Cricetulus griseus: one gene and its partners. The protein of the gene in region 4 interacts with the protein of the main gene of each other region in a pairwise test. Links are inferred from orthologs where the notes say so. Each region holds a gene or a part of one and is shown on either strand. Other genes may lie near its edges.

The links. The genes of interacting proteins can lie anywhere in the genome.
Region 1: the proteins of Rnf41 (region 4) and Homer2 interact in binary tests that used the Homo sapiens proteins (3 or more experiments, as listed by UniProt). The link is inferred for Cricetulus griseus from reciprocal best matches to the Homo sapiens genes RNF41 and HOMER2.
Region 2: the proteins of Rnf41 (region 4) and ankyrin repeat and SOCS box protein 6 interact in binary tests that used the Homo sapiens proteins (3 or more experiments, as listed by UniProt). The link is inferred for Cricetulus griseus from reciprocal best matches to the Homo sapiens genes RNF41 and ASB6.
Region 3: the proteins of Rnf41 (region 4) and CUNH1orf109 interact in binary tests that used the Homo sapiens proteins (3 or more experiments, as listed by UniProt). The two-hybrid records come from large-scale screens. The link is inferred for Cricetulus griseus from reciprocal best matches to the Homo sapiens genes RNF41 and AIRIM.

What each region holds. Positions count from the first base shown.
Region 1 is NC_048596.1:115,890,706-115,896,719, reverse strand, and holds the start of Homer2 (homer protein homolog 2), read right to left. Parts: upstream 3,721-6,014; 5' UTR 3,691-3,720; coding exon 3,589-3,690; intron 1-3,588. UniProt on the Homo sapiens protein: Postsynaptic density scaffolding protein. Binds and cross-links cytoplasmic regions of GRM1, GRM5, ITPR1, DNM3, RYR1, RYR2, SHANK1 and SHANK3.
Region 2 is NC_048599.1:142,506,194-142,512,156, forward strand, and holds the start of ankyrin repeat and SOCS box protein 6, read right to left. Parts: upstream 3,721-5,963; 5' UTR 3,608-3,720; coding exon 3,495-3,607; intron 2,511-3,494; coding exon 2,335-2,510; intron 1,253-2,334; coding exon 1,146-1,252; intron 1,048-1,145; coding exon 939-1,047; intron 593-938; coding exon 506-592; intron 394-505; coding exon 1-393. UniProt on the Homo sapiens protein: Probable substrate-recognition component of a SCF-like ECS (Elongin-Cullin-SOCS-box protein) E3 ubiquitin-protein ligase complex which mediates the ubiquitination and subsequent proteasomal degradation of target proteins.
Region 3 is NC_048595.1:28,116,132-28,121,983, forward strand, and holds the start of CUNH1orf109 (uncharacterized protein C1orf109 homolog), read right to left. Parts: upstream 3,721-5,852; 5' UTR 3,375-3,720; intron 1,931-3,374; exon of another isoform or gene 1,928-1,930; coding exon 1,653-1,927; intron 1-1,652. Other genes in the region: Cdca8 (borealin), read left to right, coding at 4,079-4,172, 4,282-4,410. UniProt on the Homo sapiens protein: Part of the 55LCC heterohexameric ATPase complex which is chromatin-associated and promotes replisome proteostasis to maintain replication fork progression and genome stability.
Region 4 is NW_023276806.1:129,470,127-129,475,868, forward strand, and holds the start of Rnf41 (E3 ubiquitin-protein ligase NRDP1), read right to left. Parts: upstream 4,034-5,742; 5' UTR 3,770-4,033; intron 1-3,769. UniProt on the Homo sapiens protein: Acts as E3 ubiquitin-protein ligase and regulates the degradation of target proteins. Polyubiquitinates MYD88. Negatively regulates MYD88-dependent production of pro-inflammatory cytokines.

The sequences.
Region 1 (6,014 bases), on a different chromosome or scaffold from region 4:
AAAAAGCAACTTATGCAAGAAAAGGTTTATTCTAGCTCACAATCTCATGTTATATTCTACCACTGTGGGGAAGTCACAGCATCTGGAGCTTGAAATTCCTCTTTCTATCCACAGACAACAGCAGAGAGAAATGAATGCTCACTTGCTTGTGGTCAGCTCAATTATCCCCACTCTTACACTGCATAGGACCTGCTGCCAAGGGAATGGTGCTGCCCACAGTGGACTGCCGTCCTTGTTCTATAGGACAACCCCCTATAGACATGCCCACAGGCCAACCCAACATAGACAAGCCCTCATTGAGAGCCTTCTCAGGTGATTCTCCATTAAGTCAATGACAATTAAGATAATTAGCACACTCCAATTAAAGTACTGAAGCTGAAATCGAACACCACATAGGCATGTGGGTTGAGATGCATCCACCATACAGCAGTGAAAATTCTCTTTTGGGCAGTTCACCCTAATGGAAGAACATGTTTCCTCTGTCTGCAACGAATGGGAAGGAAGCAAGCCCAGAACGGTGGGCATGTGAGGTCAGAGGTCAGAAAGAATAAATGTTAATGACGGACTCACTCGCTCTTCTACCTGGTTCTACCTTTGTCTCTTCCCATGACCTCATCTTAGCAGAGAATGTACGCTCCGTTCCAACATTCCTCAGTAGGCTGAGTGAGTTATCGTGTCTTCTCCAGTGGACACACAGACCCCAATTCCATTCCAGGAATATACAGTTTTATTATTTTTGGAAAGCCTGTCTAAAGAGCAGAAAGATTCTGTGCGATACTTCCTGGGCTGTGGCTGCTGAGCAGTCCTTCTACGTGAGAGCTAAGAACAAGGTATCTATTTTCTTTCTGGGGGTTGGAGAGAGAAGTTCATATAAAGCACTCTTCAGTGAAAATGTCCACACTGGTGTTTCTTTGTCCTGCCCACAAGGCCTGATTACCGATCCCCCTGTAGGTCTGTGGGTGGCTGTGCTGAGAAGCCAGGAATATTCAGTCACAGCTGCCCTCCAGCATGCAAGCCTCAGGAACCCCTCAGGCCCAGGTTCCCTCTGTGCTACCTAATTGCCACTTGTCCTGGCTGCTAGCCTCTATTCGGGGCAATTTATCAGTGTGTGGTTAATCGGCCCCTTCAAAGAGAAAGGAAATGCTGATTTGAAATATTTTGGACAAAGGACATATTTGAGAGCTTGTTTCAGAAGTCTCTGTGATGATGGCGGGTCACAGTCACAGAGCAGAGAGGCCAGTGCTGCCAGAGACCAAGTGATTCAGGAAGACGGGACACTCCTCCTTAATAATAGGTTATTCTCTTCGTCTGGGAGGAACTGGAAGTAGCACAGTCAAGGTCTCTTCAATTCTCCAAGGCAGGAAGAACCGAACTCTCCTCTGTCCTACTTTTTGTTTGTAGTTTTCCTTTTGATCCTTTTCCACGGGTGTTTTCCCCTCTATCTGTCCTCACTACCTTGTCTCCTCTACAGAATGAAAGACACTGGACCAGGAAGCTATGAATGGTTCTTTCAGACTATCCCAGGCTCCAGAAACTTCTGGCCATAGACAGAAGCAGAGGTATGTGCTGAGATACAACTGGATGCTTCCCCACAGCCTGAGGCTCGAAGGTATCAGGAAGTTATGGGGGTGAGTGCTGGGTAAGATAAGGGGGATCCTGGCATCTCCTCTCCCCACCAGGCAGCTCTGTGGGTTGGAAACCACACGAATCCCTGCTCCATTTCAGATAGAGGTCCTGACCACTCACTCTCAGGCAGCATCACACCACACCTGTCCCACTCCCCACTGTAGAAGAGGGTGTTGCTGTCTTCCATCCATCATCATCCCAGAGTCTCAGCCTCCCTCCTGTCTGACCAAGGTCTGCCAATTAAAAAAAAATTATTTAAAATTCCCCACCTCTTACTCAACTCTTCATCAGCTGTACCCTGAAATGAATCCGACTCACTTGAAGAATATCTGAAATGCAAATCTGATCACTTGACTTTTTGGGTTTAAATCCTTCTATGGTCACAAAATAAAATCCAGAAATCCCAGCATGCCCTACAAAACCAGCCAAAAGCTGACTTGTAGCAGTCATGTCAGAGAAGACTTGGTGAGGTGCCTGCAGCTTCCCTCTGTAGCACATATTAAAGTGCCAGTGCTGGAGCTATGACTGCTTCTTCCTGCTGCTGGAATGACAACATGACACCCCTGGGGGCATGCCTTAGAACACCCTACTGAGCCAAGGACACCAGGAAAGTGGCCCAGCTTCAGATCTACACTGGACCCTGGAAAATGGTCAAGAGGTCAGAGGTATATGGGAAGGGAAGAAACGGAGTTGGGCAATTTTGTCACTAACTAGTGACAGACTTGGGGCTAGCAATGTCACCGGACTCAAGTGTAACCAGAGCCTAAAAACAGTCATATTTCCATGTGGCCGCCCCTTAAGAATCCCTACTCTTCAGAAGAGCATCTTTCAAGTCATGTAAGGGCTCTGCGGGTGCCCAGGTACAACCTCCTCAGGATCAAAAGACCTGGTCATAGTGCCAGAGGAAAAGGTGTCACATGGCCTACTCAAGACACATTCCTGCTCTCCATAGTCACCCTGACCTCTGACCCCACAGAGCATCCAGCTATTCATGGTGCAGCAGTGAGCATCTGAAGCACACGCTCCTGGAGAAGCTGGCCACACTGGGCCCCTACTTCACTAGGGATCATACTTCTGAGACAGCCATGCTTCGGCCAGCCCTGCTCCTCACACCTTCATCTTGTACCTTTTGTACCACATGCTGCTGCTGCAGACCTCGGGAGTCTGTGGAGATGGCAGCTTCTCAGATGCAGAGAAGCAGGAGTCTGGTGGCCAGGATGCTTTATCAAGCAGAGTTCTGCTGGCACTGTGCTTATCCCTACTGGAGTATCCCACCTTCCAGAGTCACAGTCCCCAAGTCCAGCAGAGTGGGATGGGGCGGAGGAGAGTCCCATCCTAGTCAGTGTCCTAGTAACTCAGTTACCCTTTTCATTGCTGTGACCAAACACCCAACAAGAAACAGTGTAAGGGAGGAAGAGGTCATAACTTAAAAAGGGGTGTGGATCATCTTGGCTGGGAAGGAAAAATCTGGCCACACCAAGAGTGGACAGGAAGTGAGGCCAACCTATAAAATCTCAAGGCTGGCTCCTAGAGACACATTTCCTTCACCAAGGTCTCACATCCTGAAGATTCCACAGTATTCCCAAACAGCATGAAACCAGGGATGACACATTTCATATCTTAACTATACCTGACCTCAACACTTCTGCTTCTTGCCCTGTGTTTCTGGACTCTGATAAGGAAGTTTTTCAGCCTCAGGAAATAATAAGGGGTCTAATGGATGCCCAAAATACCACCAGGCCAGTCGGGCTACTCGAGCTTCCAAGGGAACAGCATTTGTTGGAGATGAACTTCCTTTCCGCCATAGACCACTCAGTTTTCAAGAAGTCTGCTGTTTGAGAGAGGGCACCTCCTCCAACACAGCGCCACAGAGAGCAGCTAAGGGAGAGAGGGCATCCAACCACTCTCCTTACACTGCCGGGAGGGCACATGCCTTTGTTGTAATGCCAGGAGGGCACATACCTTTGTGAGTTGCTGCTCTGAAGAGAACCCCAAGCCGAACACTGTGTTGGCTCTGCTGTCAGCCCACTGGCCGAACTTCTGTGAGGTTTTGGTGAAAGTCATGTTCGGGGTGATGGTGCTGTTTATAATCACCTGCGGGAGACAACCCAAGGGAGACAGCATTAACTCTACAGTGGACCGTTTCTCCAGACACAGCCGGTGGAGACAGGGCACTTCCTCTGTCCTGTTGGGTTTGCTCCTGGGCTGTTCTGACCAGGGCAGACACACAACCACGACAAAAGGTAATTTCAGACACTTGACAACAGAAGAGTCTAAGATGGAATCTTTCACATTACTGATAGGAAAACCTCTCTCCTAAGAATGGTTTCCAAAACTGATATTTTATTGCCCCGAAGATACCAAGTACCAAAGTTTCTTTAAAGACTAGCCATGTGTACATTCCCAGGGGAACTGCCCTCTCCCCACCATACCCACCTCCCATTTGAAATCTAGCCAAACCAGTTAATACTTCCACCAGCAGTGGGGCCTTTGCTTCCGAGGGGAAGGAGGAGATTCTGACCTGGGGAGTAGGTAGAGGGCTAATTAATAAATAGACTAGTCATACTGGTGAGAGCAGGGAGACCGGAGGGGTTGGCACAGGAGCCTGATGCTGGGCCGTTACCTCCCTTGACCTCAAATGAGAAAAGAAGCAGAGAGACCACAAACCCTGGGAGAGAGAGAGGGTCATGTGGAGCATATGTTTCTACTTTGTATTTCTGGTTAACAGAATCGCCGCCGTGAAGTGTATGTCCAATGTGAGTGAATGAATGAATGAATGAATGAATGAAATGAATGAATGAATGCAGCACGTATCAGATGGCTCCTGGGTCAGTCATATCCATATCCTTAGGGGTTCCTTGAATGCCAGTAGATAAAAGTTAACTGGAGTGTAACACACAGGTCCAAGTCTTGATCCTAACAGGCTTTCCCAGAGTTGGTCACACTAAGATAGGTCTTTAAAACAAAACAATTTCTAAGCAATTTTTCATAAGATATCTCATCTAAACTTATCTTTAAAGAAGGAGACACTGAGGTTCAACAAAGTCAAGTGGCTTGTCCAAGGTCATGATAGCAAGTGTAGATGACTGGGAATGTACTGCTCTCAAAGTAGTGGTTAATGGACTTTTTTTTTAAAGATTTACTTTTTATTTTTCATTATGTATACTGTTGGGGGAAAGGGTGTGCCTGTGAGTGTAGGTGCCCGCGGTGTTGGGTGCCCTGAAGCTGGAGAACAGTGGTTATGAGCCACACACATTATGGCTGCTGGGCATTGGAAGCAGGCCTGGAGGAAGGGAAGATGTTCCTAACACTAAACCGTTTCTCCAGGCCCCAATCTGGGCATTTTTAATTGATCTGTTTTCTACTTCACTGATGTGGCTGGTTAATACAGTCTATCTGCTGTTACATTATCCACTCAGTGCCTTGTGTGTGGGGAGTGGGGGAGTGAACAAAGAAGGAAGGAGTTTTAATTAGTTACCTGGTTTTGCTCTGTAGCTTCTCCTTTTTCAGTCTCCCCAGTTCTGAGACTCACCACCATTCCTGCCTCTGTTATTTTTAAAATCTAGCATATCTCATATTTTAAAAATGCACTCCAAGACTAGACATGGTGGCATACACCTTTAATTCCAGTACCTGGGAGCAGAGGCAGGAAGATCTCTGTGAGTTTGTGGCTAGTCTGATCTACAAAGTGAGTTCCAGGCCAGTTAGAATCTACTAAATGAGACCCTGTCTCAATCAAAATCAGTCAATCAATATTCGAAATCCCTGAGGTATTCTTCCCTTTGCTTGTTTTGTCCATTTCCCCTTTACTTTCTCAATACATTGATGTGTTTATTTTAAAGTCCTTGATGCAAACGCCAACACCTGGGCCATCTCTGAATCTATCATTATCTGGATCTCCCCTCCCGACTCCAGGCATATGGTCCCACCTTTTTGCAGGTCTAGTCATTTTTTTTTTTCTTAAATCTCATGCTGAAATTGCAAAGACTGCATAGAATGTGACCATCTGCCCAAGGAAGCTCCCTTTCTCTGCTAGGTGAACTAGGCAGACAGGAAATCCCCTCATCTTAGGGCTGTACTGGGTCAGGTTGGATTTCAGCTCCCAGAGACTCAGTCTACCTTTGGTTCACTCCTGAACTCAGGGCAGGCTCTTTATTTTATTTTATTTTTTTTTGCCTACATGTATGTTTGTGCATCATGGGCATGCCTGGTTCTTGTCAGAGAGTTTGCTGGACCCCCGGAACTGGGATTACAGATGGTTTTGAGCTACCATGTGCATGCTAAGAATTGAACCTGGGTCCTCTGGGAGAGCATCCAGTGCCTTTAACCACTGAGCCATCTCTCCAGCCTTAGGGCAGGCTCTTGAAGGAGTTCAACAGAGAGATGGG
Region 2 (5,963 bases), on a different chromosome or scaffold from region 4:
CCAGCACAGTCTCAGCCTTATGCAGAAGCTCAATGTGGCTATCATCTTCAGCACAGCCTGGGTGGGAGCACAGCCTCTCAAAAATGAGGCTGAAGCCAGACCAACAGGATGCACCATGCAGGGAGCAGTTGTAGGCGGCCCCAGACTCCAGCAGGAAGCGCAGGAGGGGAAAGTGCAGCTTGAAGCTCTTGAGGCAGATGTGTGTGAGCGACTCATGGGCTGGGCACTCACTGGGATCAGCCCCATGGGCCAGCAAAAGCTGTGTAACTTGGAAGCAGAAGCGGTTGATCATCGGGGCCTCCTCCTTGTCCCCACAGACAGTCTCACCAAGGAGGAAGATAATACATGTGAACACAGTGTCCCCATCTTTGGTGGTGGCCTTGACATCTGCCCCTGGAAGAGCCATGGAACAAAAATGAGAGGCGGCCAGCAATCCTTACCAAACAAGGGTGAGGGGGATGGAGCAGAAGGCATGGCAGCTGCTGTGGACAATGTAGACCCTCACCTCCCTCCAGGAGGAGCCGGATGTTGTCTGTGTTGTGGATCTGCACTCCATCACTGCTAGCCAGAGCATGCAGCAGTGCTGTCTTCCCTAGGAAGGAGAAGGAAGGATGAGGCCAGTGTGCCCACAGATGGGTGGAAGCAAGATTCTCAAGACTGAGGGAAGAGCTACTGGATTTTCATTCACACAATAGGAACAAGAGGGTCAGCAAGGTCAGGACCTGTCTGCATCCACACATAGACAGAGTATGCTCACTCCTTGATGCCTTCTGAGGCAGCATGGAGACAGTGACTGTACTCTCCAGGGTGCTGGATTCAGGCAGGCTGGTACCCTCCTCCTGTATGCCAGCTGTGGCTATGTCATCCTCTGGGGCCAGCCCCCAGATGCTCACCTGGCTATATCCCTAGCATAGTCAGCCTCCCACGGAGGCACTTACCATTTTTGTCAGCTGCATTGACATCTGCTCCAAGATCCAAGAGGCGCTGCAGGCAGGGCAGACGTTCAGGTTCCTCGCTGGCCAGATCTAAGGGGCTGCTCTCATGGATCTGAGCCAAAAGGGATAGCAGCCATGTTGGCCTGGGGCCTGAAAGGCTGGCTGGTAAATCTACCACATACACCCAAGCTGACTGAACCTGACTCTTACCCGGTCCCTCCGGTTGATGTCAGCCCCATGGCGCACCAGCAACTCCACCATGTCAGGCTGGTTTCTCAGGACAGCGATATGCAGGGCTGTGTAATAGGTAACAGGGTCTGGACAGAAAGCAGTACAGGTCAGTCCATTCTCAAAGGTTCAGGACCTGGCCTTGAGCCTCTCCCCAGCACTGCTACCTCAAGTGTGCAGATGCTAGGCCTAAAGTCCTGGTGAGTTCCAATGGGTATGCAACTTATCTGTGTTGGCCTCAGTCTCCTCTCTGTCACTTCCTCTCAGGACTGTTCCCAAGAGCAAGCAGAGAGACTGCTGTGCTCAAGCCTGGCAGTGCAGCCACTTTTTGTTCTTGAGCCAGGCTCTCATTACAATGCCCTGGCAGGCCCTGACCTTGCCAGCTATCCCTGAATCACTAAAGATCTTCTGCCACTGGGCGGTGATGCTGCACACCTTTAGTCCCAGCACTCCGCAGAGGCAAACTCTGTGAGTTTGAGGCCAGCCTGGTCTACAAAACTACACAGAGAAATCCTGTCTCGAAAAAACCACACACACACAAGAGAGAGAGCCTTCTGCTTCCAGGCCAGGTGACCACATGGAAGGGCTTTGGAATAGATGCCCCCTTCTGCTTGCAGGGTTCCCAGGTGCCTGCAGTGTCTGAGCTTGTTTTGAGCTGGTTTCCAATGAAAGACACTAAGGCTGTTGTGGGTCAGCACTGGCCCCATACTAGTTCAGAGGCAGTCCAACCTGTTTCTATCTCCTGGGGTAACAGCCAATGAATGGCAGGACTGAAAGTTGGCCCTTCATCATCCTGGATGCTTAAGAAACCTATGAGGCTTGCTGTAACTGATGCCTAGTATGGCTTATCTTCCCACCTCTAGGATCTAAGCAAAACCCGCAGGACAGCTCAGAGTCACAGGAAATTACCTTCCCTTAGCTCTGGGCACTGCCGGTGCAGTTTCACCATAATAGAAGTGGGATTAATCTGGAAGCTGGGGAAGTTTGGCAACTTAATCACATGCTAGAAGCAACACCACTCTGAGCCGAGGTGCTATGAGCCACCTGGAAAGCCCACAGGAGTGAGGAAGCCACCCGAAGGAAAAGAATAAGGAAAGTCACCCACAGATAAGAGGAAAAGCAGAGGCCAGGCCTAGCTGCCTAGCCCTGGACCCTCTGGGATCCTGCTGACCTTCAAAATTGAGGTTGGCCCCACTCTGCAGAAGGACAGCAGCTGCCCGAGTCAGCCCCAGCTCAGCCATCTTCAGCAAAGCATTGCTCACACCTTCCTGGTAGAATGGAGAGTGGGCCTTCTGCTCCAGCAGCTCAGTGAGGACCAGGATGCGGCTCTCCTCGCCGGCGGCATAACTGCACATCAGAGGCAAAGCAGACGCAGTGGTAACACTTGGGGACCAGCTGCCCTACCCTGTGTGTTGTTCCACAATCAACCACAAAAACTGCTCATACTCGGTGGGGCAGAAGCCTTTTTTGGTCATATCTGAAGTGGTTTCAAAGCCATCCTTCAGCTTGCTACCAATGGCTGGCTCTGTCCAGCTGGCTCTCACACCACCCAGAAGGAGGCCCCAAAGCTCTCACCCTTCCTAGTCAACACTACCTACTAAGAGCTTCTTGGGCTTGGGGCTGCTCCACACCTTGCCCAGCTCTGACAACTGCCCAAACACCTCCAGATCCACCTCTCCACGAAGTTCATCACTCGCTCTTCTCCCTAATCTCATCCACCAGACTTCTTGTAATAGGTTGGCCCCAAGATTCGACCAACGCCCGGACACAAAAAGCTTATCTGGGGCAGCCCTCCGGAATGTTAGGCTCCGCCTACGGAGGACGGCAGTGCCTTGATGTGCAGCCCTTTAGCCCGGCCCCGGAGTTCTGGAAAAGCCTAGCAATGCCCTTACAGAGTAGGCCTCAGAGGAAAGAGCTGATGTGGTTTAGAAAAGACTTCCCCGGTGAGACTGACAGTGTCTGCAATTCCTCTCATGACTGTCCCAACGCCCCACCTCTGCCCACTCCACCCCATGCATTCCACACCGCGCAGCAGGTCTGGGTGCTCGCCTGTCGCAGCGCTCCAAATACCCGGGGAGCTCTGCAGAGGGCACAAGAACCACACCCGCTTCCTTCCTCAGAGAATCTCAGAGAGAGAGAGAGGCCTGCTGTCTGCAGAAAGTGCGCTCGGCCACAGCCAGCTCGTCTCCTCCCGGCATCCATGCACAGGGAGCGGCGCCGAAGCCCAGGTCCTCTGCCCTGCAAGACGCTGCGAGCTCGCCTCGGGCTGGAGCTCGCGCTCGGAGCCACACAGCTCCCGCTGCGACAACCACAGGGACCACAGCCACTCACTCGTCCAGGGGCTCCTGCCGCTCCAGGTCCTGGATGCCCAAGGCGCCCAGGATAGCGTCCACCAGGGGCTGGTACTCGAAGATGATCCTGCGAAAGCCGTGCAGAAACGGCATGGCGACGGCCGTGCGTCCCGACGCCCACACGCCGCCTCCTCCCGATCTACCGGTTCAGACCCAGCGCCAGTGACCAGTCCTCCGCCCAGGCCGCGGTTCCGCACAGGAAGTGACTCTACCACACCCACTTCCGGTTCTCGCTGGCCGGTGTGAGGGCTCAAGTTCGGCCACAGTGCCCCCTGCGGCCCAGGAGGACCTCACGGCACTCCTCACTGCCCCGGCTCCTCCTCTCCCTACCATCCCCCGCGGAGCTAGCTGCTAGAGGGCGTCCCAGCTCCGCTTGGGCTCACGGCCCGGCTAATGCCGGCCTCCCTCCAGAGGTGATGCAGACCCTGTTCTGGGCCTGAACACTGCTCCCTGCAGCCACTCCCTAAGGAAGAGCTGCAACCACCTCAGTCTCCATGCTGCATGCAGGCTGCGTGGCACAATGAGGACACTGCACCCAACTCTTCCCCACAGACACTGGGACAATTCTTTATTCTCTGTCCCTTGACTCCTGGCCAAACAGGCTGCCCACTTTCCCCACTTCTCGCTGGAAGGAGTCAAGGAACCTTCATGTCCTGGTCTGTAAAACGGGTATAATCTCACCTGCCTGAATCCTAGACCCTGAGCTGGGAAGCAAGAGCAGAGACAAAGTAGGAAGGGACTGTAGCAGGACCGGACAGCTTCTACCCTATAGGAATTTCAGAGACTGCAACTTTGACTCCTGCATCAAGGCCCTGATGATTCTAGATGGCTAGTTATGGGGCGGTATCAGTGCTCCAACCTTGTATTCAGGGTTTGTGGTCTCTCTGCTTGGCACCTGCCATCTGACACTGGGGAAGAGTTGACTGGCTGGAAACAAAGTTTCTTATTTGTTTTAAAACAGGAGCTCATGTAGCCCAGGCTGCCCTTGAACTCTCGAACTGCACCCAACAGTGTAAATGCCAGGTCAGTAATTGTTTACTGGGTTTTTCTAGGAATAACGGCCAAAACAAACAAACAAAAAACCTGTACCAGGGGTTGGAGAGATGACTCAGCAGTTATGGATGCGTGTGGTGGCTTAGAGCCATCTATCTGTTGCTCTAGTCCCAGAGGATCTGATGCCATCTTCTGGACTCTGTGGCCACCAGGCACAAAAGTGGTGCGCAGACATACACGCAGGCAAAACATTCATACACATGGAAAACAAAAAACAAAGTGTGTCTGGGGGCTGGGGATGTAGCTCAGTTCATAGGCTGCTTGGGTGACATGCATGGAGCCTGGGGCACCCAGCCCATGTAGACTGGACATCGTGGCTTCCTGCTTCAGGACTATGCCTTTGTTCCAAGCACCCCTTCCTTCCCCAGTGTCTCCAGCCCTTAGATATAGGGACTTCCCTGATGCAGAGTGGCTTCAGTTTACCCTTATGAGATCTTCAAGACCCTTCTTCTAAATAAGGTCACTTTGAAGGTCCCCAGGAGCACCAGTGGAACTCAGAGAACATTTTATAAACCCTCTGTAACGGGTGAGCCCAGATGTGTTCCTTCTGGTCCTAGCCTCAGTGTCTTCACCTACAACTTGATCATTCACCGGGCTCTCAAAGTCCTAGATCCAATGAAAGGCATCTTGATGTCACCAGTGGCAGACAGAGGGGCAGAGTAACAACAAGAGCAGGGCCAGTGAAATGACTCAGAGAGTGGAGGCTTGCCACCAAGCCGCATGACCTGAATTCAATCTCTGGGACCCTCATGGCAGAAGGAGAGAACAGACTCCTACAGGTTGTCCTTGACCTCTGCACACACTGTGGAATGTGTGGACACATGCGTGTGTAAATGCAAATGCACGCCCTGCTTTTATGAAAGCGTCCCTGGGTCCTAGCGCTGGGCTAAACACTCTACAAACTGATTCTGCTAAATCCTATTAGATAAATAACACTATTCTTTTCACGAGCAAGGAATCCGGCTCAGAGAGGCTCCAGAGATTGCTCAGTGAAACACAGCTGGGTAGAGACTCTCCCGTGTCTGTGGGGCCTCTCTACACACTGTCCTTCAGTGGCTCAGAGTCCCTTCAGCTTCTCTATCACTGAGCCCTAAGAGGGTCTAGACTTGCAGGATGGAGGAAAACTGACCTTTGCCCTTTCACAGCCCATAGGCATCACACAGTGGAGCCAGGCTCCACCACCAGCCAGTCCCCCAGGCTCCTGTCTTTAGAAAGCCCTGTGCCCCTTGACCCTTCCTTTCAGCGAGGGCAATCCTGTTTCCTCCATCTGCCTTCCATTAAGGCTGTCACTCATAGCTCCTACTTTCAGCTCTGACCCTTCTGTCTTTTCCTCACCACTGCCCTCCCTCTCTGCCTGAGCAGACAAGCCCCATCCTGCCACCGAACTCCAGAACTA
Region 3 (5,852 bases), on a different chromosome or scaffold from region 4:
GTGGAATTTTGGACAGTATCTCAAAAAAAGGGAGGAGGTAAGGCTCCTTTCACCACTACTGACATTTGGAGGTTTTGTTTCAGAGGGCATTCAAACCCTCAGACACTCCTGGGAAGCGGTCTACCACTGAGCTACACCCCAGTCCCACTTTGCAAATTCTTTTTAATTACATATGGTGGGAAGGGGCACACATGCCACAGCACTTGTGTGTGAAGGTCAGGGGGCTACTTTGTGGTGTCCATTCTGTCCTTCCATCTTTCTGTGGGTTCTGGAGATTGAACCATCTGGGGACTGAGCCATCTTGACTACCCTTTTTTAATCCAGTTCTTGAATGACAGCGTAGATGGGGTGCAGACTGCTGGGGAAAGTGAGTTAATCCTTATATAAAGGCTCCTTTGCTCACTGTGTCTCCCAAGAACAGGAGCACACACACAGCACACACAGTCAGTGTAGCAGTGAATGAGAAAGAGAAATAATGATGATGTGTAGAAAGTGCTTTTGTACCCGTGATGGTGGTGGCGGCGCACGCCTTTAACCCCAGCACTCAGGAGGCAGAAGCAGGTGCATCTCTGTGAGTTTGAGGCCACCCTGGTCTACAGAGCGAATTCCAGGACAGCCACGGATACACAGAGAAACCCTGTCTTGGGGTTAAAAAAAAAAAAGAAGAAGAAGAAGGAAAAGTGATTTTGGTAGTGCCTAGGTATTCTTCTTCTTTTTCTTTCTTTCTTTTTTTTTTTGGAGGAGGGTTTCAGTCAGGGTGCTGGGATTAAAGGCATGCACCACTGGCTGCTTAGGTATTATAACTCTAAGGAACCAAGACAAGGGCTGTAACTTTCCAAAGGCCAAAGAATCCCCTAGCCCCGAATTGGGGCTCTAAAATGTCCAACTGTGTAAAAACAGGAAACAATCCAAAACCTGCCAAGTTTTGAGTCTAGCTTAAAGACTGTGATGAACAGTAATAAAACAAACAGTAAACAAAGTATCAGCGCAACACCTGTGTTACTGTTTGGTGGGCTGTTTCAGTTACACATGTATCCACCTATGTGTAGAACAAAGCCTGGTAGAAAGCCACAGCTAATGTGGTAAACACACTTCAGAATCCCCACTCTATCCCTCACTGGCTATGTGATCAGACATCTATTTGACTTTCCGTTTTTGTGCTTCCAGGTGTATGAACAGGGTTAAGCCAGAGGTGTATAAGGTAACATACACAAAGCCCTTATTTCTAGCACTTACCAACCCTACAGCATACTAAAGACAACTACAGAAAACTACATTTTCTCCAGTCCCCTTCTTTTCTGCTTTTGTAATTACTTTTGTTTATTTAGTTGGTTTGGGGTTATTTTTTTCATTCGTTTTTTTTTTTATGAGACAGGGTTTCTCTGAGTCCTGCCTGCTTCTGCCTCCTGACTACCCTCAGTTTAAAGACATGCGCCACCACACTCGACCTGATATTTTGTTTGTATGTTTGTTTTTGAGACAAGGTCTTATAACATAGCCCAGGCTGGCCTCAAACTCACAGTCCTTCAACCTTACTCCCCCGAATGACCAGCTTGCTTTTGTAACTTTTGTAGGCCCACCCTGATTGGGGATGGGATGTCATGAAGCTTTAAGATCTTTCTACCAAGAAAGCGGGCCACAGAGTCTCTTACAGCCTCTCAGCTAGCTTGTCCAGGACAATGTCGCCAGCCTCCAGTTGCTTGCGCCTCAGCCGCTCCTGTAAGTCTGGGAAGGGACGAAGGGCCGGCACGTCCTCAAACCTCAGATTCTGTGAAGCCTGCAGCTGCTCAGCCAGGTTGCTGAGAGAGGAGAGGAGGGACGAGCAGCCCTGAAGAGTGCTTTGCCACAAGTCCTGCTGCTCCTGCACCACAGGGAAGCACTTCCTCAGGACCTCTTGCACAGCCAGCAAAGGCTGGTCTTGAGCCATCTTCTGGGAAGACAAAACCAAGAGTCAGGGTACCAGAAGGGGAGGGCCTGGTTCAAGGGCGAGTCATTTCTGACCTCATGAGGCCAGCTTTTGATCTTAAAATAGTCCTAAGGCAATATAGAAAGGTAGGAAGACTTTGGGGGATGTGAAAAAGAACGGGCCCTCCTCATCCTGGAAGCAGGTTGATGCCTCTGGTCAACAAAGAAGTGAGAATACTCCCAGCAGTCCAATTACCAACTGCTGAAGGCCTTCCTCCCTTCCCAGATGTAAACCTTCAATCTTGTAGAAATCTCACCAGAAATCCCATTTACAGAGAAAGCAGAGTACTACCCCTTGACAACCAAAGTAGCTCCTGGTTTCACTTTATTAGATTATAATTCAGAAACCACTTCACTTATAAAAAGAAGAGAGAGAGGTAATAACAAGTTGTTGGTTTGCTTTTTTGTTTTTCGGACTTTTTTAGATTTATTTATTTATTATGTTTATGCCTGCTTGTTAGAAGAGGGTGCCAGATCTCATTATAGATGGTTGTGAGCCACCATGTGGTTGCTGGGAATTGAACTCAGGACCTCTGGAAGAACAGTCAGTTCGCTTAACCTCTGAGCCATCTCTCCAGCCCCCACGTTTTTTTTTTTTTAAGAAACCCTCTTGAGATATATCTTGAAAGTCAACAAAGTTATACATGGTTAATGTTAAGACAATCAATTGCAGCCTCTCCCTGAGAAGCCCACACCCACTTCGCTATTTCATACTTAATTTTTTGAGTAGCCTGCAAGTGTCTTTTATTTTCTGTCTAGGTGCCTCTCTCTTAAGCCTCGTCCTTAAGCCTGTATTAAAAATAACTTTTAAAAAAAAGCAGGGCGTTGGTGGCACACGCCTTTAATCCCAGCACTCAGGGTACAGAGGCAGGCCGATCTCTGTGAGTTCGAGGCCAGTCTGGTCTCCAGAGCGAGTTCCAGGACAGGCTCCAAAACAATACAGAGAAACCTTGTCTCAAAATACAAACAAAAAATTAATAGTAACTTTAGGCTGGGCGTGGTAGCATACACCTTTATTCCAGCACTGAGGAGTCAAGAGACAGACAGGTCTCTGAGATAGAGGCAACCTGGTCTACATAGAGAGTTCCAGGCCAGACAGTGTTACATTCCTACTCTCGTGTGTGTGTGTGTGTGTGTGTGTGTGTGTGTGTGTGTGATTTTGCTTTTTTCCATGTTTTTAACTTTTTAATTTCATTTTACATTCCAACCACAGCTCCCCCTCCCACCCATAACTCTGCTTCTTAAACTGGCTAGCCCTGAATTCTTTGCAGCTTCAAAGCCACCAACTGGGCTGCAGTCTCTAAAAGCTTAGGGGAACGCCTCACGCTGCTGAGGGTGGCAGGGTGAAGCTGTGGCTCTGTCTTGTCACCGCTGACTTTCAAGAGTGGAGGCTCTGGCGATCCTCTTACCAGCTCTCTCTGCAGAAGGACCCTTGCTTCTCACCTCAGGAAGGGGGTCCTAGAAGTCTTCAAAAGAGGCTTCCAAAGGACAGGGCAACCTTCCGCTTTAGACTGCGAGTCCCTGGGGCCTGTCTCTCCTCGAACTCCTGCTTCTGGAGCCAGGGTCTTATCTCCTCTGAGACTGCCAGCCGTGTCCCTAAATCCGCAGGAAAACTCAAATCCTGGGTAGCCAAAGCTAAGTGGACACCAAGAACCACACTGCGCTTGGCACTCTCTGCACATGCTCAAAAGCAAACCCTACAGTCTAGTTCCACTTAGCGCGACTCTGGAGTCGCGAAAAGAAAGCGTAGGCCGCAATGTCCTCTGGGCATTGAAGTCCTCTATAGAGATTGGTTGCGGGATGAAGAAGCTTTGTTGTGATTGGGCGGTGAGAGAACCGTCCCAAGACGGCGACTTGTTATTGGCCAACCTGTATCCGTTGAGTTTGAATTGGGTGGCGGTTAGCGGAGGCGCAACCTCTCCCTCAGCTGGAGCTGCGAGGTTTCCTGGGTCTGTGTTTCGGCGCCTGCAGGGACACGTCCGCAGACTTCTGGGTACCAGACTCCAACGACTGAACCCCCGCTGCTCCGTGAGCGCTCACGTCCTCTTTCCCCGTCTCAGCCGCTGAGCCGGCTGCTCGGTCCTTCGTTCGACGCAGCCTTCACCCCGGCGCCATGGCTCCCAAGAAGGGCAGCAGCCGGGGCGCCAGAGCTAACGCGCTGCGGAGCCGCAAGCTCGCCTCCTTCCTTAAGGACTTCGACCGCGAGGGTAAGGGGCGGATCCGCGGCCTTCGAGAATTTCGGGCGGGTTGGGGCGCGGGTGCGATGGCTTCGCCCTCTTGTTGACACTGGATCCGTCGGCTTTGATCTCTCCGCAGTGCAAATTCGAATCAATCAAATCGAGTCCGACAGACAGAACCTCCTCAAGGAGGTGGAGAACCTATACAACATCGAGATCCTTCGGCTCCCCAAGGCGCTGCGCGAGATGAATTGGCTTGACTACTTTGGTAAGAGCCGCTAGCGGTTTTTCCTGGTAGCCGACTAGTGCTTATCTTAAAAGCTTTTGTAGGGACTCGATCTTAATGAGGACTAGCATAACCACTCGTGGGGAATTGCCGCTTGTCGTAACTTGTGGAAGAATGACAGGCCCGTAGAAAGGAAGCTGGCATGAATTACCCCTCAGATGAGCGTTAGTAGGACAGAGAGAGAGAGAGAGAGAGAGAGAGAGAGAGAGAGAGAGAGAGAGAGAGAGAGAGAGAGAGAGGTGAGTTATGCTAGCCTATGTGCTAATAAGCAAGGACACAGGAGCTAGGAATGAATATAAAGTTGTCCTGCAGCTTTACAGAGGAGGGACAGAATTGCAAGGCCACAGCACATCACTCTCTCTTTCTTGTCATGTCTCTGTCCAAGGAGAGAGTTGGGGAGGTATATCCCTATTTAGAGGAGGAAGAGAGGGGTCTGTGGTCTGAATCCACCCTACTGCCCAGTCTTACCTGGGACTGTCATCCAGCCCATGGGGTAGGCAAACGCTTAGGTAACAAATGTTTTAGATTTCTGGAACTGATGAAATTTATTTCTGGGCACACTGAAATGTCAATTTCACACAGTTTTCACACATCAGGAAATACTTGTGTATACTCAAACTTTTGAAAATGAATAAATTAAGAATAAAATGATTGGGCTTTGTCATAGCTCAAGTAGAACAGTATCCTCAAATAGCTCTTTCTTATGGAAATTGCCAATTTAAAAGCAAGCAAGTCACATGTGAACTGCAAAGACAGGAGTATTTTTCTGACCAGAGGAAAATCCCAACCCATTTCCCACCACTTGTTAGACATCCGGTACAACATGGGGGCTTCTTCCTCTCCCATCCACTAGGTGGCTGGTGCTTTCTCCATTTTCCTCATCATTGATAGCTACCAGGGTGTGTGTCTTCCTGGGTGGAAGTACATGTTTTGCTCACAAGAGCTGTGATTCTTCTGACATGCCTCATTAATCCATGTGTTCATTTCTACAAAGTTGAGTGTCAGTCCCTATGCTAGGTACTAAAGATGCAGTAAGGGATAAAACATATATTGTTCCCACACTAGAAGCTTATAGGTTATTGGAGAAGGGTCGTTTAAAAATTCACATAGAAGCTGAGTGATAGTGGCACACACCTGGTCTAAATTAAGCTCCAGGACAGCCAAGTCTACACAGAGAAACCCTGTCTTGGGAAAAAAATCATATAGCAGTAGAATTTTTTTTCTTGGTCTTTGAGAACAGAGTTTCTCTGTGTAGATTTGAAGCCTGTCCCAGAACTACAGAACTCACTCTGTAGACCAGGCTGGCCTTGAACACAAAGAGATCTGCTTGCCTCTGCCTCCCGAATGCTGGGATTAAAGGCAAGCACCACCACAACCTGGCAGAATTAGAATTTTAAATACTACAAAAAAGATGGAAGTAATAG
Region 4 (5,742 bases):
ACACCTTTATCCCAGCACCACATAAGGGGGCAGTGATTCAGGCCTATCATCTTAGTGCCCTGGAGGCAGATACAAGAAGACCAAAGTTCAAAAGGGTACATGGGACCCTTTCTTAAAATGCACACACACACATACATATATGTGGAATATTCTTTTACACTGTGCGAATAAATGCCACTGTAATTGAGTTAACAAAAAAGCTGATTGGCTGATGGCTAGTTAGGATTTTCGGGGCAGAGAAGATGCTGGGAAGAAGGATAAAGTCTGAGGAGACACCAGAAGTCATGAGAGGAAGAAGAGCAAGCAGAATGGGAAGCATGTAGATGAGTAAATGAGCCTTGGGGCAGCACATAGATTAACAGAAATGGGTTAATTTAAATTAAAAGAGCTAAAACAAGCCTAAGCCACGGCAGAGCATTTATAATTAATATAAGTCTCTGTGTGCTTATTTGGGAACTGGCTTGCAGGAAAGAAAAGTCCACCTACACGTATAGACACACATTAATTTTACAAAATTATTTTTATCTCATTTCTTATATATGGGTGTACTGCCTGCATATATGTCTGTGTACCACACCTGTGCCTGGTGCCTGAAGTTGATCCCCTGGTACTGGAGTTATAGACAGTTGTGAGCTGCCATTTGGGTGTTTGGACCTGAACCCTGGTTCTCTAAAAAGAGTAACCAGTGCTCTTAACCATGGAGTCATCTCTCCAGCCCCTGTGTATATACTTCTTTATTCAGCACATATAACAAGTAATGTCAAAAACTCCAAATTGGTGGCTATACAATATGTGAATCTATATTTCCCCTATACTAGCCTTTAATGTTTCCAAAGGGCTTTCACTTACATTATTTCCAGTCAAAATAATTCTGGAGGCCATGGATGGTGGTAGGCTCATGCCTGTAATCCCTACACTCAGTAAGCAAAATAGGAGAACTCTTGAGTTCGAGGCCAGCTCTGGCTATATAGCAAGTTTTAAACCAACCTAGGCTACATGGCCAAACCTTGTCTCAAACAAAAACAAAAAAATCTGGGCTGTAGATGCTGCTCAATAGTAGAGATTTACAATACCCAGCATTTACAGGTCACAGGGACCCAATCCTTAGTACCACAGGAAAACAAAAACAAGAAACCTGAGTTGGACATGATGGTGCATGCCTGTAATGCCAAGACTTGAAAAACTCAGAAGACAGTGAGTTTCAAGCCAGCTGGACTACACAGAGACCCTCCTGTCTCAATAAATCAAGAAGTCTATTTCTAAATTGTGTTCAGACCCAGTCTGAAATAATACTTAAAATCAGGCAAACAGTGGGAAAGCTGATGGACACCTGCAATACTAGCACCTGGGATTGAAGGAAGGAGGATCAGGAATTCAAGGCTAGCCTGGCCTATATGAGACCCTGTCTCAAAAAAATTAAAAAGTTCGGGCCGGACACTGGTGGCGCATGCCTTTAATCCCAGCACTCGGGAGGCAGAGGCAGGTGGATCTCTGTGAGTTTGAGGCCAGCCTGGTCTCCATATGGAGTGTCAGGATAAGCTCCAGAGAAACCCTGTCTCGAAAAACCAAAACAAACAAAAAACACTGTATAAGCTGGACAGTGGTAGCGCACGCCTTTAATCCCAGCACTCGGGAGACAGAGGCAGGCGGATCTCTGTGAGTTCAAGACCAGCCTCGTCTACAGAGTTCCAGGAGAGCCAGGGCTACACAGAGAAACCCTTTCTTGAAAAACAAAAAAAACAAAACAAAACAAAAAAATCCAGGTACTGCCTTCCACGTGGAAAACATTACTTTACACATAGACACCCAAGAATGCTGCTATAGGTGCAAAATGAGAAATACTCTGGAAGGAAATCGGGCTTTGAAAAAGGAGGGAAGAGGAGTGGGGCCTGAGGCAACGGGTGATACAAAAAAACAAGGTCAGGCATGGTGGAGTCTGTAATCCCAACACCTGGGAGGCTGAGACAGGAGGATCACTGCAAATTCAAGGTCAGCAGGGACTACAGGATGAGACCCTTCCTCAAATCATTGGTAAGGAGGGAAAAGTAGAGATGTTGCTCCAGGGTGGGCAACTTGTTCAGATATAGCAGTTAAACTGGGCTGACTAGATGCATGCCTACCGAGATAGAACCAAGTCCAAGTTTCCAGTGCCCTGAGAATTTGATTCAAAGAGGTACAGGAATGTTAACCAAACTCCTACTAATCAAACTCCTGTATCATATATATATATTTTTTTTTTTCAAGGGCTATGTTGGGATAAAATAATGGTGATTTTTACAAAGAATACAAATTCTCCAGAATATGGTACTTTGTTCATTAGTTCACCGTGCTCATCATCAACTACATGTTCACATGTCCTCTCAGAAGGAGAGATGATGTAAAACCTGGCACTTTCCCTTCTTCACAGTCCAGAAGAGGAGTGGTGGAGTTGATGTTCTTCTCCTCCCCATTTCCCAACAAGCTGGCACACACCTGTATCTCAAAAAATGCTTCCAGGAAGAGGTTCTATAGGCAATGCTCGGTCTCCTAGGGTCAAGACCCAGACCCAGAAATCAAAAAGCTTCCCGTGATGGGCAAATTAATAGGGGTTAATCTAAAAAAATAGATAAAGGGTTATTGACCAAGCAAAGAAGCAGGAGAGAGAGAGAGGTGTCTTGGGTTATTCCAGTCCTAGCTCTGCCACCCACCAACTTCAAATAAGGCATTGCAACCAGTTTCTCCAACTGTCAAACAGACGATGACATTTGCCCTATCTTACATACAGCAAATCAAACGACAAAATAAATAGGAAAGGAGATTCCAGACTGCTATTAGTTGTAGCAACAGAATGGCACAATAAATTCACAATGAGGACCAGAGGAAATGTTTGGAATTGCTTGTTCCCCCTTTTCAACTACTGGGAAGCAGGCCCTGTCACAGGGTCTACTGGTGACAGAGTATCAACATTAATGTACCCCTCTCCTTCCCTTACCACTATCCAATCCCATTCCTTCTTAGGGAAATACTAGCAGCCAGCAACACTGTAATTAGCTAACACTATTGTATAAGAAGTACCTGCCAAGATTCTCACAGGTCAGTCTCTGAGAACAGTGGCCTTGGTAACCGCCACAATTGCTACCAGTTGAGATGAAGCTAGTTTTTTAAAGGAAAAGTGTGTGCCGATCCCAAACATGCTCAATCCTGCTCGCTTTCGGCTCTCTCCTGTTCCTACTCTCTACCCACCAACTGTTCTGCCTCCTTGGGCTGGGGTGGGCTTCGTATAAAGCGAGTGGATGGATCGTGCGTGCGAGGGAGCGGGGCTGCAAATCATCCAGGGGCAAGGATGTCAGGAATGTAAGAGTCCTCCACGGAGGGGTGGGAGGGGAGAGGAGCGGCGAAGGAATAAAAGAGAAAGACAAGGCTGCCAAAGACAAGGCATGGGAAAGAAGCCAAGCTATGGCGCTTGGAGGGCGGAGGTTTGGGTTCCGTGGCTCCTGCCAAGGCTGGCCCCCAGAACGTTCCCCTCCTCGCCTCCAGGCCCGTCAATCATTGCCATTTAAACTCCACGTTGTCCCCTAGGCCGAGCCGTCTGCTCCTCCCCGGTCCTCGGGCCAGCCCAAGGCCACTCCCGCACTTCCCAAGGCTTCCCTGCTCCAGAGGACCTTCCCAAGCTCCTGAGCCCCCAGCTCGCCTCCCGACTCCTCCCAGCAGAGCTCCCTTCCTCCATCCTCCTCCCCCCCTCCACCCTTCCTCTCGACCCCCAGCACCTCCGACCCAGGCGCCTACCCACCGGGACCTCGCCCCCTCCGCTCCGCTCCGCTTCGCTCCCCTCCCCTCCCGGGTGAGAAGCTCGTTCAGGAGCGTTACGCACCGCCCTGGACACTGAGTGGGTTCTCCGGACGCGGGGCCGGGCTGCAGCTGAGGCCACGGCGGCCGCGGAGTGGCCTGGGTGCCGGCTCTCAGCCTCTCCCCGTAGGGGAAGGGGAAGGGGAAGGAAAGGATGGGGAAGAAGGTTCCAACCACTCCTGCTCGTCTCGGACTGACCCTTTTGCCACGCCCACCGCTGCTACGCAACGGGGCGGAAGTCCGTCACCAAACCCCGCCCCTTTGTTTAACTCGGCGGCGACGACCGGACGCTCCAAGCGAGCGGCCCCGGTTCGCTAGACCTCCGCTCTTGCCCGGAAGTTGTTAGAAACGGACCCCCGGCGGGATTTGATAGCCATTTGGGAGGGAGGACTCTATGCTCTCCAGGTGTAACGATCTGGGGCGACCGTGGATGTACTGCCCGGCCATGTCACTTCGTGTGCGATAACGCAGGTCTCGGGCGGGCGCTGCAGCTGATGCAACGTCGGGGCGAGATGGCCTCGGGACAACCGGTCTGCTACTGCTGCTGCTGCTGCTGCTGCAGCGTAACCTGCTGCTGTCCTCCCTGCCCCTCAGTTTCCAGAGCTGCTGTGGTCAGCATCGCGGAGCCTCCCGGCCTCGTGTCATGGGAAGGGACACAGCGGTTAACTCGGAAGGCTGCGGGGTGGGGAGGGGGGGAGGGAGGGAGGCAGGGAGGCAGGGTCACACCGCAAAGCTCTGACCCAGGGTGTTGTAAGGGTCGCCCGCCTCCCGGCCACATTCGATGGCTCTTGAGAAACTCAATCGTGCCCTGAAACACTGTGAAGGGTTTGGTTTCCTGAGGTTGCAGCTGCGCGATTGGGGGGTGTGGGTGGGAGAGAACCTGGACTTGGAAGTCACCGTGGAGCTTAAAGCGCTCTGCTATATAGGTAAGGGATCGAGCAAGGCAAGAAACGAGATTACATTTACCCCTTAGGCTAACCTGGTGCCAAACAGTATTTGTTATGTTGTCTTTTTAAAAAATTCACATTAGTGCATTTGTAACTCGTTTGTTTGTAAGAGGTAGTTGCCTTTGAGGACTGACAAGTACCCCGAGGGCACTAAAGGTGCTGGGTGTTTTAAGATCCAGTGAGAAAAGAAAATAGGAACCGGACATGCCCTGCGAAAAGACTTGCTTTTTATGTCCCGGATTCCATTTCTTCCAAAGGAGGCTGAATCTGCCTAATGTCTTTTCTAAAGCATAAATGCCACTTGATCCAGAGGCCTGGGCAGAACTGTTCAGTGTATTAAAGATGAAGGCCCCTATGTCTAAGTTAATGCCATATCCTAGGCATCGCTTTTTACCTAACTCTACATTTTCATGTATAAAACGGAATTTATATGTTTAAGAATAGCCGAGCAAAGAAGCGAAGAGAGGGGCTGGCATTCAAACTTCTGCCCGCTGCATTCCTAAGCCCTTGGACCTTTTTCCATTGTGCCACTACTTGAAAAGGAAAAAAAAAAAAAAAAAAAAACCCACAATCTTGCGAGCCTGGAGCGCCTTTTTCTGAGCCGAACTGAGGCGCCCCCTGGCGGTCGGTCCATCTTCTCCCGCGCGGAACTCATCTTCGTCGAGGCTCCTTTAATTCCTAAAACCTCCCCGTTCGTGGCGCGTGAATACCGGCGCCTGATTGGGTGGGCGGCGGCTGGAGGCGGGGTTTTTGGAGGGCAGATCAGCTCCCATTGGCTAGGGAAGGTCAGGGGACACTTCCGGGAATGTGTGCGCTCCCGCGTTCCACTCCGCAGCATCCGGCGGCAGCCAGCCCCCTGGCTCCCCCTGCGGGTGGCTTGGCGGTGTGCACAGTCCCGCCTGCTGGCTGGGTGGGTGGTGGGCTGTGAATGGGGGAGGGGACCGGGCGAGCTCTGGGTGTGGGGATGAGG